Linked DNA regions of Mytilus edulis. The protein of the gene in region 1 interacts with the protein of each later gene in a pairwise test. Links are inferred from orthologs where the notes say so. Each region holds a gene or a part of one and is shown on either strand. Other genes may lie near its edges.

Evidence for each region. The genes of interacting proteins can lie anywhere in the genome.
Region 2: the proteins of peroxisomal membrane protein PEX16-like (region 1) and peroxisomal biogenesis factor 3-like interact in binary tests that used the Homo sapiens proteins (3 or more experiments, as listed by UniProt). The link is inferred for Mytilus edulis from reciprocal best matches to the Homo sapiens genes PEX16 and PEX3.

Annotation. Positions count from the first base shown.
Region 1 is NC_092350.1:35,241,083-35,248,744, reverse strand, and holds the start of peroxisomal membrane protein PEX16-like, read right to left. Parts: upstream 3,002-7,662; 5' UTR 2,961-3,001; coding exon 2,834-2,960; intron 1,411-2,833; coding exon 1,298-1,410; intron 530-1,297; coding exon 396-529; intron 1-395. UniProt on the Homo sapiens protein: Required for peroxisome membrane biogenesis. May play a role in early stages of peroxisome assembly. Can recruit other peroxisomal proteins, such as PEX3 and PMP34, to de novo peroxisomes derived from the endoplasmic reticulum (ER).
Region 2 is NC_092344.1:15,640,964-15,647,880, reverse strand, and holds the start of peroxisomal biogenesis factor 3-like, read left to right. Parts: upstream 1-3,895; 5' UTR 3,896-4,038; coding exon 4,039-4,117; intron 4,118-6,917. UniProt on the Homo sapiens protein: Involved in peroxisome biosynthesis and integrity. Assembles membrane vesicles before the matrix proteins are translocated. As a docking factor for PEX19, is necessary for the import of peroxisomal membrane proteins in the peroxisomes.

The sequences.
Region 1 (7,662 bases):
ACTGTTTTTTTAAATCTTCCAAATAATATATAGGGAAATGACATCAGTATTTTAATAACATTGTTCAATTTTGTTGTAAAATATAACAATGGGGCTTTAAAATTTTTACATTTAATGCAAAAAATCTAACTGTCAAATACTAGTAGTCAAATTAATATTCAAGAGCTTTACCTAGCTCAAAGTGACATCAATAAAATTAATATTATTCTGAAAGGCTTGAATAAGTTTACTATTATTGCATGGTAAGGGGCAATTACAATATATACCAATTATGTCACTTTTCATATCAAAGTTTTAACATACCAGGCCATACTACTTTTTTCTATGGAAATTTGGTCATTCTATATATATATCTACATAAAGCCGAAAAATGAGTAGAGAGATTGCCTGTTTACTTTGTGAGCTGTACAACTAATATAATGAACCATCTTCCTGTTTCTCCCCATGCTCTCTGTGCTGCCATCTCTAGAAAAACTTCTGCATACTGTAAAACTGTTAAAAATCTTTTCCATCTTTCTACTGGAACAGACTGAAATAAGAAAGAGCATACTTGTACATGTAAAACATTGATTTAATAGTTTAGCATTTACAAAAGTCAGTCATTTACTTTGCATAAACTTGAAAGTTGTAAACATATGACACTGTTTGACTCAGATTTATACATCCAATATCTGTCCAAAATTATTTTTTTTTCTCAATCTGGCCAAAAAAAATGGTATGTGTGTTTCATATTGCATCTTTAATAAAAATAGGGAAGATAGCTATAGGTCATGTAGGTAGGGATTTTTTTTTTTATTTTACCATTTGTTTTTACATTGAGTCTAAAGGAGAGGCATTCTGAACAGTGCGTATTAAAAAAATGGAAAAAAACAACAACTTAAGGGTAAGCTATTTCTTTAGCTTAAAAATATGGAGGGTAGGGTAATAAGAAAACCACATCTTTTTTTATTTGGCCTATAAGACTAGGATGTTATTCGCTACTTCTCAGTATTCAACTATGACGACCAACCACAACTTACTTCTAAAATCTTGATGAAGTAGTTAGTTACAATTTGACTAAATGATAAATACCAGTATAAAAAATTATATTCGATTAATTGTTTAGTTGGAAGCCCAGAGTGGACAGCATGTTTTGCTCTGGTTTGTGATACTTTCATTGGTTATTGAAGATAAAATGTATTACTTTGACATCACAGATTTTAATTGCTTGTTCAAATTCAGTATTACTATTAGCTTCAACTTTAAACATTAATATAAATACAAATGTACATGTTGAATATAAATTTGACAGACTTACTATGTTTTTTAAAACTTTGGCTGTCTGTCTGAAGATGGTATCATTTAGTAAAATCAGTAAATTGGATGCCAAGTAGACAAGCTCTGACAAAACCTGGGAATCTTCAAATCTACCTGAAAGACAAAAAGACTTAATTGGTTAAAAATGTATAAAAGACATGAAAGAGATCATAAATGACTATTTTTAACCTAATCACATTTAGGTGACTTTTTATTGTTCTATTTGGCATTTTAAGTGTCTGTCTCTTTTCATTCATCAAATGTTCATACATACACATATCTGATTCCATACATACATGCATTTATTATGTAAAAGTCCCCCAAAAAGAAAGGTTGCCCAGTAGCAACTATCAGATTTGGACCACACCAACTTACACTTCAATTCAGCCGATTAAGAGAGGGGCCCTCCCCCCTTTTTTGGAAAAAAATTGGTTGCTTATATAGTGAATCACTGAAGCATGACAATAGCAAGCCCCCTCTTAGGCAGTCAGTGTGCCCCCACTTATGAAATTTCTAGATCCGCCAGTGGTTGTTGTTCCAGTATTTTTTATGTTGGTAAAATTATCTTTCTACTGTTTCTTTTTAAAGCCCTCACAATTAATGCATGTAAAATAATTGATCTTAGTTCAAAAACAGTTTCAATGGTTCCAGGATCATCCTACGAACATGATGAATGTGACTTATAAGATATTTTTTGTTTGTGGGGGTTAAAATATGATTGTAGGTCTATTTTCCATATGCAAAGTGACCTTAGAGTGACCCCTCATAAAAATCAGGTGATGGCAATACGCATGGATCTGTCACTGAAATAAACTATTATCTTATTGTACATGTTAAACATGTTTCCATTATCCATGCTTCTTTGTTGATTGTTTACTATAAGGTGACAATCGGTAAACTTTGGCTTCAAAAACGACAAGTAATGAGCAGCTATATTTTCACATCATAACAAACAGAGAGAAAAAAAATGACAATTATACGATACATAATGTCATTTGTATAAATGATAAAATCATGCACAGAAGTAGTCCAAATAATTATGACGTCTTGAAAGGCTATTCTAATTTTTTTCTCTGACGCCGAAGGAAGGCGTCAAAGAAAAAAATTATAATAGCCTTTCAAGACGTCATAATTATTTGGACTAGCACAGAAGACTAACATGACTAAGTTGATGATATATACATGCATGGGTTCAAGAATTGGATAAATATTAATTTTCACCAATCTGATTAAATCACTCGTTTCAGATGACTTTAAAGTTGGAAACCAAGAAATGTAACAATGATAAAATCTGAACCATGACCTTTGGCTTGTTTAAAAAAAAAGCAGAATCATTCAATAAGAGTATTGTTTCATCCCTATTTTTAAGATGATATATATGAGAAGAATAAACCATTAAATAAATTATGTATGCATGATGTTGCCTATCAAAGAGGATTTTGTTGATCATATGAAACTGAAAGTAGGATTAAAATCTGAGTTATCCACCCCTTTTTAAGATTTCTTGTAAACATTCTTCATTAACAAGATATTTTACCTGCTATAACATATGACACAACTTTGAATGTGGATTCTAGTTGACTGACAGTTTCGGGATTTTCCCTCACTATCTTCTGATAGCGTTCCCATACTTCTCTCACAAAATCTGATGCAGCTGAGGCCATGGTCAACACAAATATTGGCAAAATGAATCTGAATACCAAAAAGTATGATCTTTTTATTAAAAAAATGTTAAATTTTCAATGTCTTGGCATCAACTGTAAGGTAAACGAATTGTTATAAAAATAGAAAGCATCTATAAAAGAGAATGACAGCTGTGTTTATAGACGGTAAAAAACTATAACCGTTTCGTCTTTTTTTTTGGTGATTGGTGATTTTCTTTTTACTGGTTACCTGTTTGTTGTTTTCCTTCTCCTTTGCCATAAATCTCAGAAAGAAGGTCCAGTTGAAAATACATTGAAAAAAAGTTATCTATAATTTTTCATAATGAACACATAGGTTTTATAAAGGTATTGAAACTGTAATCTAATCCTACAAAATTGAAGCCACTATGTACAGTAGAATATATTTGTATCTGCAAAGTTCTTCTTTATACGTTTTTTTTTGCAAAATGAATCACATTTGAAATTTTTGATTTTGTTATTCGACAGTTCGAGCGAAACATTTTCTAGGTTCTAAAATATTAATTCTCTATACCATTTCCCTTCTGTAGCATCAGTACAAGTTTCACATTTGTTTATGTGTAATAATCTAAGGGACAAAATTACATATGCAATACATATAGAAGACGAAAAACATTTTATCTTGCATTGCACAAAATTTTTGTGCAATATTATATCACAGGAGGTTGAAATCCTATCAATGAGGGTCTATAATTATGTCAACTCGACTATCACAGTAGAGCTTCTCTCGTAGAGAGAAGCGAAGAGAAGCTCTACTGTGATAGTCGAGTTGACATATTTATAGACCCTCATTGATAGGATTTCAACCTCCTGTGATTATATGAATCACAAAGAAATGTTCTTATATCAAAATTGTCCAAATTTAAAAATTATGACAAACAATCTAAAACTGAGGATGAATATATCAAACTATTACTTAATAACAAGTGTAGAAAAACACTTTGATTAATATCATCTTTTATTAATCAATCATTTGAATTAAGGAAAAATGTACTTATAAAGCTACAGTACGCCCAGAGAGTATGTAATCGCAAACTCTAATCACGGATTTCCGAGTGTAGCGGTGTGACACGGCGAATCAGGGATTATACTCCCAATTTCCTCCAAAGATTCTCTCCCAACACCGCGTGGCTGTTTATTGGTTTATTGCCCATCGGATGTACTGAAAATTAATGACGCGTGACAACATCATCGGATTAGCCAGATTTATTACCTTTGTAATAAGTTCAAGTTCAAGTTCAACTACGCACTGTTGATCACTGAGATGCGTATCGTCTTCCCACGGCAATTAATTGCTTTAAAAATATTTAAAGATCACTGTTCTAAATACAACACAAAAGTTTACATTCATTGTGCGTAAATAAATATTATGCAACGACGAGTTGATGCAGCTATAGAAGTATTCCTGTTGTAGCCGAAATGTATTATTTATCCTAAAGTAAAGCTAACAAATCGTGAAGAGAAAATGCTGTAGACTTATTAAGCATAAAGAATGGTGAAAAGTATTTTCTTTTTTTCTTGCATATACAAGTTTTAAGACACGTAATTTTCTTTCTTTCTCACATTTTATACCTTCAGCGTTAATTTCCGTTTATTTTCACGCAAGTATGTCTCTTTTCGTAAGTTATATAAATTACCGATAAAAAAAAACCCGAGGTCATAATCAAGTATAGATTTTTTTTTTATAAAACTTTAATGCAATTGAAAGCATTTAATAACAACAACCTTTTCCTTTTTAAAACTTTTATTTTGTAATTGTAAAATGGAAATGGCTTACTTATTAGCATAACAGATAGTGAATAATATTTTCATTTTTACTTGTATAAAAAACTTTGAGACGTGTCACTTTTCTTTAAACTACCCTAATTTATTCAGCGTTAGTCTCCATTTATTGTTACACAATTATATCTCTTTTAGTAAATTAAATAGTTATTTACTGATAAAAAATGGAAGTCAAAATCAAATATAGTTGTTTTTAAAAATTGATTTAGATGTACAGAGTAATTAAAAGAATTAACAACGTTTTTATTTTTATTTTAATCTTTCATTTGTTTCAAGCAATCAGATATAAACTGATAATCAATAGACAGGAAATACAATTGTTTAATTACATTAGAAATCTGGCATACCTTGACTGTCGCGTGCCGGCATAGATCAGAAGGATTAGGGCAATTAATTACCTGGTGTGACACCGCGTCACTCCAGACTGGGAGAGATGTCGCTAATACAATAAACAAAAGGTAACAGATTTACGCGGAAGTCGGAGGGAATACTCCCAAATTTCTCCGAGAATTTAGGGAGTGATGTCGGAGTTTCCTGGTGTCACACCAGGAAAAAACTCGGTGTATGGAGTTTGGGATGGCTTTCGCGAAAATTGTACTGTATAACATACAATATACTTATGTCAGTAGTCTATTCTTACAAATTAACCTATATATATTGATATTTATAACTGCACATTTCATTGTTCGAAATGTGCAAAATGATATGCTATGTAGTATTGTTTAATTGCTGCATCATTACTATTAGTATACTAGTTGTATGGGCCGTTGCCAATTATTGTAATTGAGTGTGTGCCAATAAATAAATATTTGTAAAATAAATATTTGTATCCAGATAATAACATTAGTATAAGTACATTTGGAAATAGAAATTAATAAAATTTTAATACAATGTTTATAACCTAAAAAGGAAGTTTGGGATTGATTTTGTGGGTTATGTTCCCTAAGGTTTAGGAAATTGTACACCATTGTTTAATACCATAAGTAGAAGGTTGGGATATATTTTAAGGGTTATGGGGCAAACAGTCTAGGAATAAAGGGCCAAAAAGGGGCCAAAAACAATAATTTTTGTAGTTTCAAGACAATAAATTGGAGTTATCTTTCTTTAGCCAGAATGGTATTTGAATCAACAACAACAACAACAACAACAACAACAATACTTTATTTTAAGAGGGTTACACAGTTAGCTATATAACTAATCTTCCCTGAGGCCCTCGTAATGAAAAATCAAACAAAACACAAACATATACTAGTACATTGCATACATACATTAGCATAAAAAGTCAAGTGTGATAATAATGTTCAATACAACTTGATAAAATGTGATGAAAAAATAAACATGATGACATGATCAGTTTTTTATATTATTTATACAGTTAGGTTGATTTCAATAAATGATCTGCTATTTTGTATTTGAAAGAATTAATATTTGTAATATTTCTTAACTGTATTGGCAAATTATTCCACAAGTATGGTCCAGAATACATAAAAGATTTTTTGAATAATTCTGTTTTTGGTTTAGGGAGTATGAGGTTTCCTTGAACAGCATTTCTCAAGGGGTACGGATTTCTGTCTGAAACATAATGAAACTTGTTAGTAAGATATGATGGGGCATCATTATTAATACACTTAAATGTCATCACTAACTTATGATATTTTATTCTCTGTTCAACTGTCATCCAGTTTAAGTGTTTGAATAAGGGTGCAGAAGGAGCGAATGGGTCTGTTTCTAGTATTAATCTAGCAGCCCTCTTTTGTAATTTTAATATCCTTTTTAAACCCTCACTGCTACAACTACTCCACACTATACAACAATAATCAATAAGTGGCAAGATATAACCATTATAGAATAATTTTCTGCAGTCTAGATTTAGAAATTTTTTAATCTTTAATAGTAGATATAGTCTAGATGATATTTTTGAGCAGATCAAGTCAATTTGGGTTGTCCATGTGAGGGAAGGGTCAATTTTAATGCCTAAAAGACTTTCGCATGTGGAAGATTGTATCACTTGATTGTTAATAGTTAAACAACTCTCATTGTAATGTGGCATTGCTCTTTGCTTCGTTCCAATAATCATATATTTTGTTTTATTTTTATTGATGAACATATTGTTATCATTGCACCATGCCTCTACACCATGTAAATCTTCTTGTACCTTTGACTGAAGAGTTTGATAACAATTACCAGAAAGATGTAAGGTTGAATCATCGGCATATAAATCAGTGCAACAATTTTTCATATAAATAGGAAGGTCGTTGATGTATAATATAAACAGAAGGGGGCCTAATATGGAGCCTTGGGGAACACCATACTTGATATGAAGTTTTTCAGAATGAGCATTACCAATTTGTACTTGTTGAGTTCTTTCATTCAAATACGATTGAAAAAAAGAAACAGCAGTATTATCAAATCCATAAATTTCAAGTTTTTTACAGAGGATATCATGATCTACTACATCAAAAGCTTTCTTAAAATCCAACAGGACTGCTAAGTTGATATTACCATCATTCATATCCTGTATCCATTTATCTATGATATTGATAAGGGCAGTTTGGCAAGAGTGTTCTTGTCGAAACCCAGACTGTGCTGGGTGTAAAAGATCTAATCTTTTAAGATAGTCAAACAAATGTTTTGAAACATGCTTTTCTAAAAGTTTTGATAAAACTGGAAGTACAGAAATTGGTCTATAATTTGTTGCCATGAATTTTTCACCAGCTTTAAAAACAGGGGTTACTCTTGCATTCTTTAAAACACAGGGAAATGTACTTGTATCTATTATTCTGTTAAAAATGTAAGTTAAAGATGAAGTTATGACAACTTAAACCAATGCTTTATGAAATCTTTGAAAATTGGAGTTATCTTTCTTTGTCAAGAATAATAGCTGAATCAACTTAAATCAATG
Region 2 (6,917 bases), on another chromosome or scaffold:
AATAGATATAGGAAGATGTGGTATAAGTGCCAATGAGACAACTCTCCATCCAAGTAACAATTTATAAACCATTATAGGTCAAGGTACGGCCTTCGACATGGAGGCTTGGCTCACACCGAACAGCAAGCTATAAAGGGCCCCCAAAATTACTAATGTAAAACCATTCAAACAGAAAAATCACAGTCTAATCTATATACTAATGTAAAGGAGAAATGACTTCATTCATGATACTTATGTCAGTAAAAGAAACAATTTTTACACACATTGGTTTAAAGGAAAATTATGAAAAGGTCAATGAGATATATCACAACAAATACACACACGTATTATTAGCAGTCAAACAATTGGTCTCAACAAATGATTAGTTGTTATACCGTATACTAAACTCTGTAGTGCTATGATTAGTTTTGAATAAATGATTCATAACTACCAGGAACTTTCTTTCAAAACCGAATTCCAATAAGGGCAAGAAATGCTCCAATGTTTAAAGATAACATGACTAAGCAAGAGCACATTATGCAAATAATGTTTGATTTACTTTCGAGTCATTTGTTTTTATACGACCGCAAATTTTGAAAAAATTTTCGTCGTATATTGCTATCAGCGTCGTCGTCGTCGTCGTCGTCGTCGTCCGGCGTCCGAATACTTTTAGTTTTCGCACTCTAACTTTAGTAAAAGTGAATGGAAATCTATGAAATTTTAACACAAGGTTTATGACCACAAAAGGAAGGTTGGTATTGATTTTGGGAGTTTTGGTCCCAACATTTTAGGAATTAGGGGCCAAAAAGGGCCCAAATAAGCATTTTCTTGGTTTTCGCACTATAACTTTAGTTTAAGTTAATAGAAATCTATGAAATTTTGACACAAGGTTTATGACCACAAAAGAACGGTTGGGATTGATTTTGGGAGTTTTGGTCTCAACAGTTTAGGAATTAGGGGCCAAAAAAGGGCCCAAATAAGCATTATTCTTGGTTTTCGCACAATAACATTAGTTTAAGTAAATAGAAATCAATGAAATTTAAACACAATGTTAATGACTACAAAAGGAAGGTTGGTATTGATTTTGGGAGTTTAGGTCCCAACAGTTTAGGAATTAGGGGCCAAAAAGGGACCCAAATAAGCATTTTTCTTGGTTTTCGCACAATAACGTTAGTATAAGTAAATAGAAATCTATGAAATTTAAACACAAGGTTTATGACCATAAAAGAAAGGTTGGGTTTGATTTTGGGAGTTTTGGTCCCAACATAATAAGGGGCCCAAAGGGTCCAAAATTAAACTTTTGTTTGATTTCATCAAAATTGAATAATTGGGGTTCTATGATATGCTGAATCTAACTGTCATGACTGTGTATGTAGATTCTTAACTTTTGGTCCCGTTTTCAAATTGGTCTACATTAAGGTCCAAAGGGTCCAAAATTAAACTTAGTTTGATTTTGACAAAAAATGAATCAGTTAGGTTCTTTGATATGCTGAATCTAAAAATGTATCTAGATTCTTGATTATTGGCCCAGTTTTCAAGTTGGTCCAAATCGGGGTCCAAAATTAAACTTTGTTTGATTTCATCAAAAATTGAATAAATGCGGTTCTTTGATATACCAAATCTAACTGTGTATGTAGATTCTTCATTTTTGGTCCTGTTTTCAAATTGGTCTACACTAAAGTCCAAAGGGTCCAAAATTAAACTTAGTCTGATTTTAACAAAAATTGAAATCTTGAAGTTCTTTGATATGCTGAATTCAAAAATGTACTTAGATTTTTTATTATGGGCCCAGTTTTCAAGTTGGTCCAAATCAGGATCTAAAATTATTATATTAAGTATTGTGCAATAGCAAGTCTTTTCAATTGCACAGTATTGCGCAATGGCAAGAAATATCTAATTGCACAATATTGTGAAATATCAAAAAAAAAATTAATTAGAGTTATCTTTCTTTGTCCAGAATAGTAAGCAAGAAATATCTAATTGCAAAATATTGTGCAATAGCAAGATTTTTTTTTAATTGGAGTTATCTTTCTTTGTCCAGAATCAACTTAAATCTTTGTTATATACAATATACAATGTATATTCACTTTTTACTACCAACTGATAAATTAAAATAATCTTTACCATTCAGTGATAACAAGCAGTTTTTTTACATCTTAATATTTTATGATGTATTTAAATGAGTAGTTATTGTTGCAAACTCCATTAGAAATTTTAATTGAGATTAGTTTTGGAATAAGGGAAAGGGGGATGTGATTAAAAAAATTGGGTTCAATTTTTCTCATTTGAAATTTCATAAATAAAAAAGAAAATTTCTTCAAACATTTTTTTGAGAGGATTAATATTCAACAGCATAGTGAATTGCTCTAAGAGAAACAAAAATTTTAAGTTCATTAGAACACATTCATTCTGTGTCAGAAACCTATGCTGTGTCAACTATTTAATCACAATCCAAATTTAGAGCTGAATCCAGCTTGAATGTTGTGTCCATACTTGCCCTAACCGTTCAGGGTTCAACCTCTGCGGTCGTATAAAGCTACGCCCTGCGGAGCATCTGGTTGTAAGTTGTAATTTTGTTCTTCTTTAAGTATGATCAAGTTGAAGATAAACTATTTTGGTCCAGAGAATCGTTGTAATGTGCACATGTATCACTGGTTTGACTTCTTTTCCATGATTTCTTTGATTGTTCAGTTTTACAATCTGGCACACCACTTTGGATATCATGGGAACCTTATTTACAGTTTTGAACAAAGACAACCCATGCATAGTTTGCTTCTTTGATCCAACTGTGTCAATAGATTTACATGACATGATTTTTACACAGTTTGTGATGTTAAAAAGACAACTAATGTCAGTTGATGAGCATCTAGTATTTGTTAAAAATCAATACTAGATATAGAGTTATGAATAATTTGCTAGGTTAATCCCTCTGAAAACCTAAATTTTTAAAAGCACCAGTTTATGTTCAGCAAAATAAAATCTTCAATAACATGTCAGAAATTTGTCAATCAAATCTTCTTCAATTAATTTCTCCATAGAGATGACTTTTACACATTTTAAATACCAGTAGTCAAAAAATATGGTGGAAAGAAAGAAACTTTAAAAAACAAGAAATATCAAATATGATCAAAAACAGTTGTCTGAATAATGTACGTGTCAGACTTTTGTAGGTAGATACAAACTATAAACAGCAAATATTATCATCACAACAAGATTTACAAAAAATGTGTCTAAATATGATTTACAAATAACCAACATTATAACTGATCGCAGAATAAAAAGTATAGAATAGATTTTAAAAGGCATATTTTTACCAGTTTAGAGGATTCAGGCTTTGGGACCAACTTCTCAATAAAAGAAATTGACTAGTGTTCATAGAAGAAGTCTAATGGTCTTCACTATAATTTCACAAAATCATAATGACTCAATGTGGGTCTCATTGGGGTCTAAGCGTGACACGGGATTGCTGATTTTTTGTAAGCGTGACACGTGAAAGTCAAATTATTGTGTCGTGAAAACGGGAAATGAGGTCTAGCGGGACCTGGGAAATGACAAAAAAATGAGAATTGCTTACGTACATAGTGTAACAGTAAGCGGGATCCGGGATCCTTGATATAAGATCTATAAAAATGCCACTAGAGATATGATATACAAACAACATTACAGTTCAGTAAAAGTAAAATAAATATCAACATAACTTTTTGTTTCTATTACATATGAAAAGTTGATTTAAATTGATAGTAACATGTGGCTGTTTAGTTATCTTTAATTTGGAAGATTGGTCTGAACTTGTATATCTATACATTTCAAGGGAAACGATAAAACAAATCGGAAACGAAACATTTCCGTACCCGACATTGAAGTATGTACTAATTATTATAAAATAAAATCACTACAGTGCTTTAATCACATGAAACTTCAATATGAAATAAAGTTCGTGCTTTACATCGAAAAGAAAAATTGGATTTTGATCACGAAGCAGAGCACGAAGTCAGAACGAACGAATTTTGAACAAATCTAGTGATAAATCAGTGGCAAGACATTTCTTTAATTAAGAAGATGTTAGGAATCGGTAGTTTGTGGAATTTTATAAAGCGTCATAAACGAAAATTTATATTTGGAGGCATTCTTGCCGGAGGTAAACAATTTTGTTAATTCCATCATAACCCACATGGGTTTCTTACAATGGCCGGGCTTACTATCCATACGAACCCCCAAAAAACTAGGGGTTCGTATGGATAGTAAACCCGGCAATTGTAACAAACCCCTGTCTGCACAAACACATATTTTGATAGTCCGAGATTAGGGAGCTACCATTTAATTTTTATGGGGGGGCTAGGATGAAAAATTTTGTCCTGCATTTTTTTTTAGCTGTAATCTCTGTCCTGCCTTTTTATTTTTCACTCTGTTCGGTCCTGCCTTTTTTTTTTAGTTGATCCTCACTTTTTTTTACCTTAATTGTCGTCCTGACTTTTTTTTTTTGCAAGTGTCTCATCCTGCCTTTTTTTTTACTCTAAACTCCTGTCCTGCCTATTTTTTTCAAATTTCATCCTAGCCCCCCCATAAAAATCAAATGGTAGCTCCCTTACTCTGACCAGTGATATTGTTGTCTTTTTTCAAAACTACCTCTACCGTTTTTTATTGGGAAAAATGCATATTTTTTATTGAAATTGGGAAATTTGTATATTTTATTCTGAACACATCTCCGATTTTTTCCTGACCTTTGCTGTCTTTTTGCACTGTTTTTTTCATGTATGTTTTGGTTGTCAGACATTTTCAACCTGAAAGATACTTTCGGAGAGGGGAAAGAAACAGAAGCAATGATGGTACTTACAATGCATTGAAAACTACATGTGTTACAAACACCATGATGATTCTGATCAGAAAACCGGATCTCAAAAGTGCTTTCTAATATCAAAATGATAACATGAATACGATATTTACAAACATTACTACCAATGCCATCACTGTTTGGGGAAAATGTAAAACTTTTTGGGAGGAATTTTAAGCCATTTTTTTCAGTAATTGGGAATTTTCTCTAGGGGAAAAGGCCGAATTTCGGCTGTTATTTGAGCCAAACAATATCACTGCTGACGTCCAACGGCTGTTTTTCCAGACAAGCTTGGGCCGTGGGACGTCAGAGCTCGTCCCATATCAAAAAGTGGATATTTGCCCACCCAAAATAGATGCGCTGCTTCGTCGCTTCTGGTGCCGACTAACGGCCTTGGAATTATATAAATCGGGCATCAATCCTTTCATTTTTCATTTATCTTTTCATTTATGTAAGTTTCACCTACCTGCCAACTTTTATTTTTCCATATTTTAACAGTTTTCACAGAGATCCATCGATTTCTGCATTTTGACTTTCACTTTCAAATGGACGTCAAGTTACGAGAGAGTTTGTGGCCTCGAGACTCAAATATGCAAATTTTGTAGGAGATCGATGTTTAACATTTAGTAGCCAACCACGATTTTTCACCTCCTTTACAGGAGATCAGTATTAAGCATTTAGTTCTGACCACGTTACAATCGGAAGCTCTCGGACATTTAGATAACTTGCATCGTAAATGAACGAGGTGTTACATTATGGTCATTTGCATAAATCATCACTGTTTTCTCGTGGTCACGTGATAATCTTTGAAAATGAAAGGCAAAATGCAGAAATCGATGGGTCTCTGTGAAAACTGTTAAAATATGGAAAAATAAAGGTTGGCAGGTAGGTGAAACTTACATAAATGAAAAGATAAATGAAAAATGAACAGATTGATGCCCGATTTATATAATTCCAAGGCCGTCAGTCGGCACCAGAAGCGACGAAGCAGCGCATCTATTTTGGGTGGGCAAATATCCACTTTTTGATATGGGACGAGCTCTGACGTCCCACGGCCCCAGCTTGTCTGGCAAAACAGCCGTTGGACGTCAGAGTAATCTCGGACTAATATTTTGATAAAAGCCTCTGATTTTTACTGTGTCATTTTATACTAATATGAGGCAGGCATTACCTGTGAATGGGGACGAAGTCTGTATGAATTATTTTGTTTGTAACTTACATATGTGTTCAAAAAAAGAAACGGAAATACCGTAACGTTTCCGATTTTGGTTCTGTTGTTAGGGATTTTACTTGTGACGTTATTTAAGTTATGATGTCATGTTCAATGTGAACAAAGAAATGCAATGCATCAGGTAACGTTAATTCATATCAAAGACGAAGAATTATTATAAATGAAATATTGGTATTGTGTTCCTTGAGTTCCTATATGTCGTAGATGTAGATGTACTAGACTACTCAAAGTCTCACGACAAAGAGACCGGAAGAAGGAAGTTGATTTCTGCGTTCTGCTGGAATTAAATAAAGCGACAAAAAAAATTTGAACGATTTTGAGTTCATTAGTACAATGAAAATTTCGGGAAATTTTCCCAATTTTTTAATTTTTTTTATTTATTTATTTTTCTACTGTATTAGGCCTAGGGGACTTTCATCCTCATATAATACCATAGTTACTAAGCCTTAGCAATGGTAAATAATGTCATGACATTTCATGTCTTAAAAATTAAAGCTCGTCCTGATTTCTGGGCCCAGAGGAAGAGCAATAGACAACTTGTGTGTTCGTTGCATCCTGTCAAAACCTTTGGTTTTAGTGAACCACATTCATGTGTTTAGGGGCATCATCACTTAGAGTTATTGGTTGAACAAATGATAATACTATATTGAACAAATTATTTTGCATAATGACGATGAGAAAAACGCTTGATGAATTTTAAAACAGTAGGGATACAGGCAAACACCTCTAGGCCAAAAATAAAATATTGTTTGTTTCCCCTCCCCTGACCGACCCGGTAAAATCACTGCGACCCGAAATTTTTTATTGGCCATTCTTTTCCACTACTTTTTTTTTTGCTGGTTATTGGTGATATCTTTCCGATGCTGTAGTCAACGA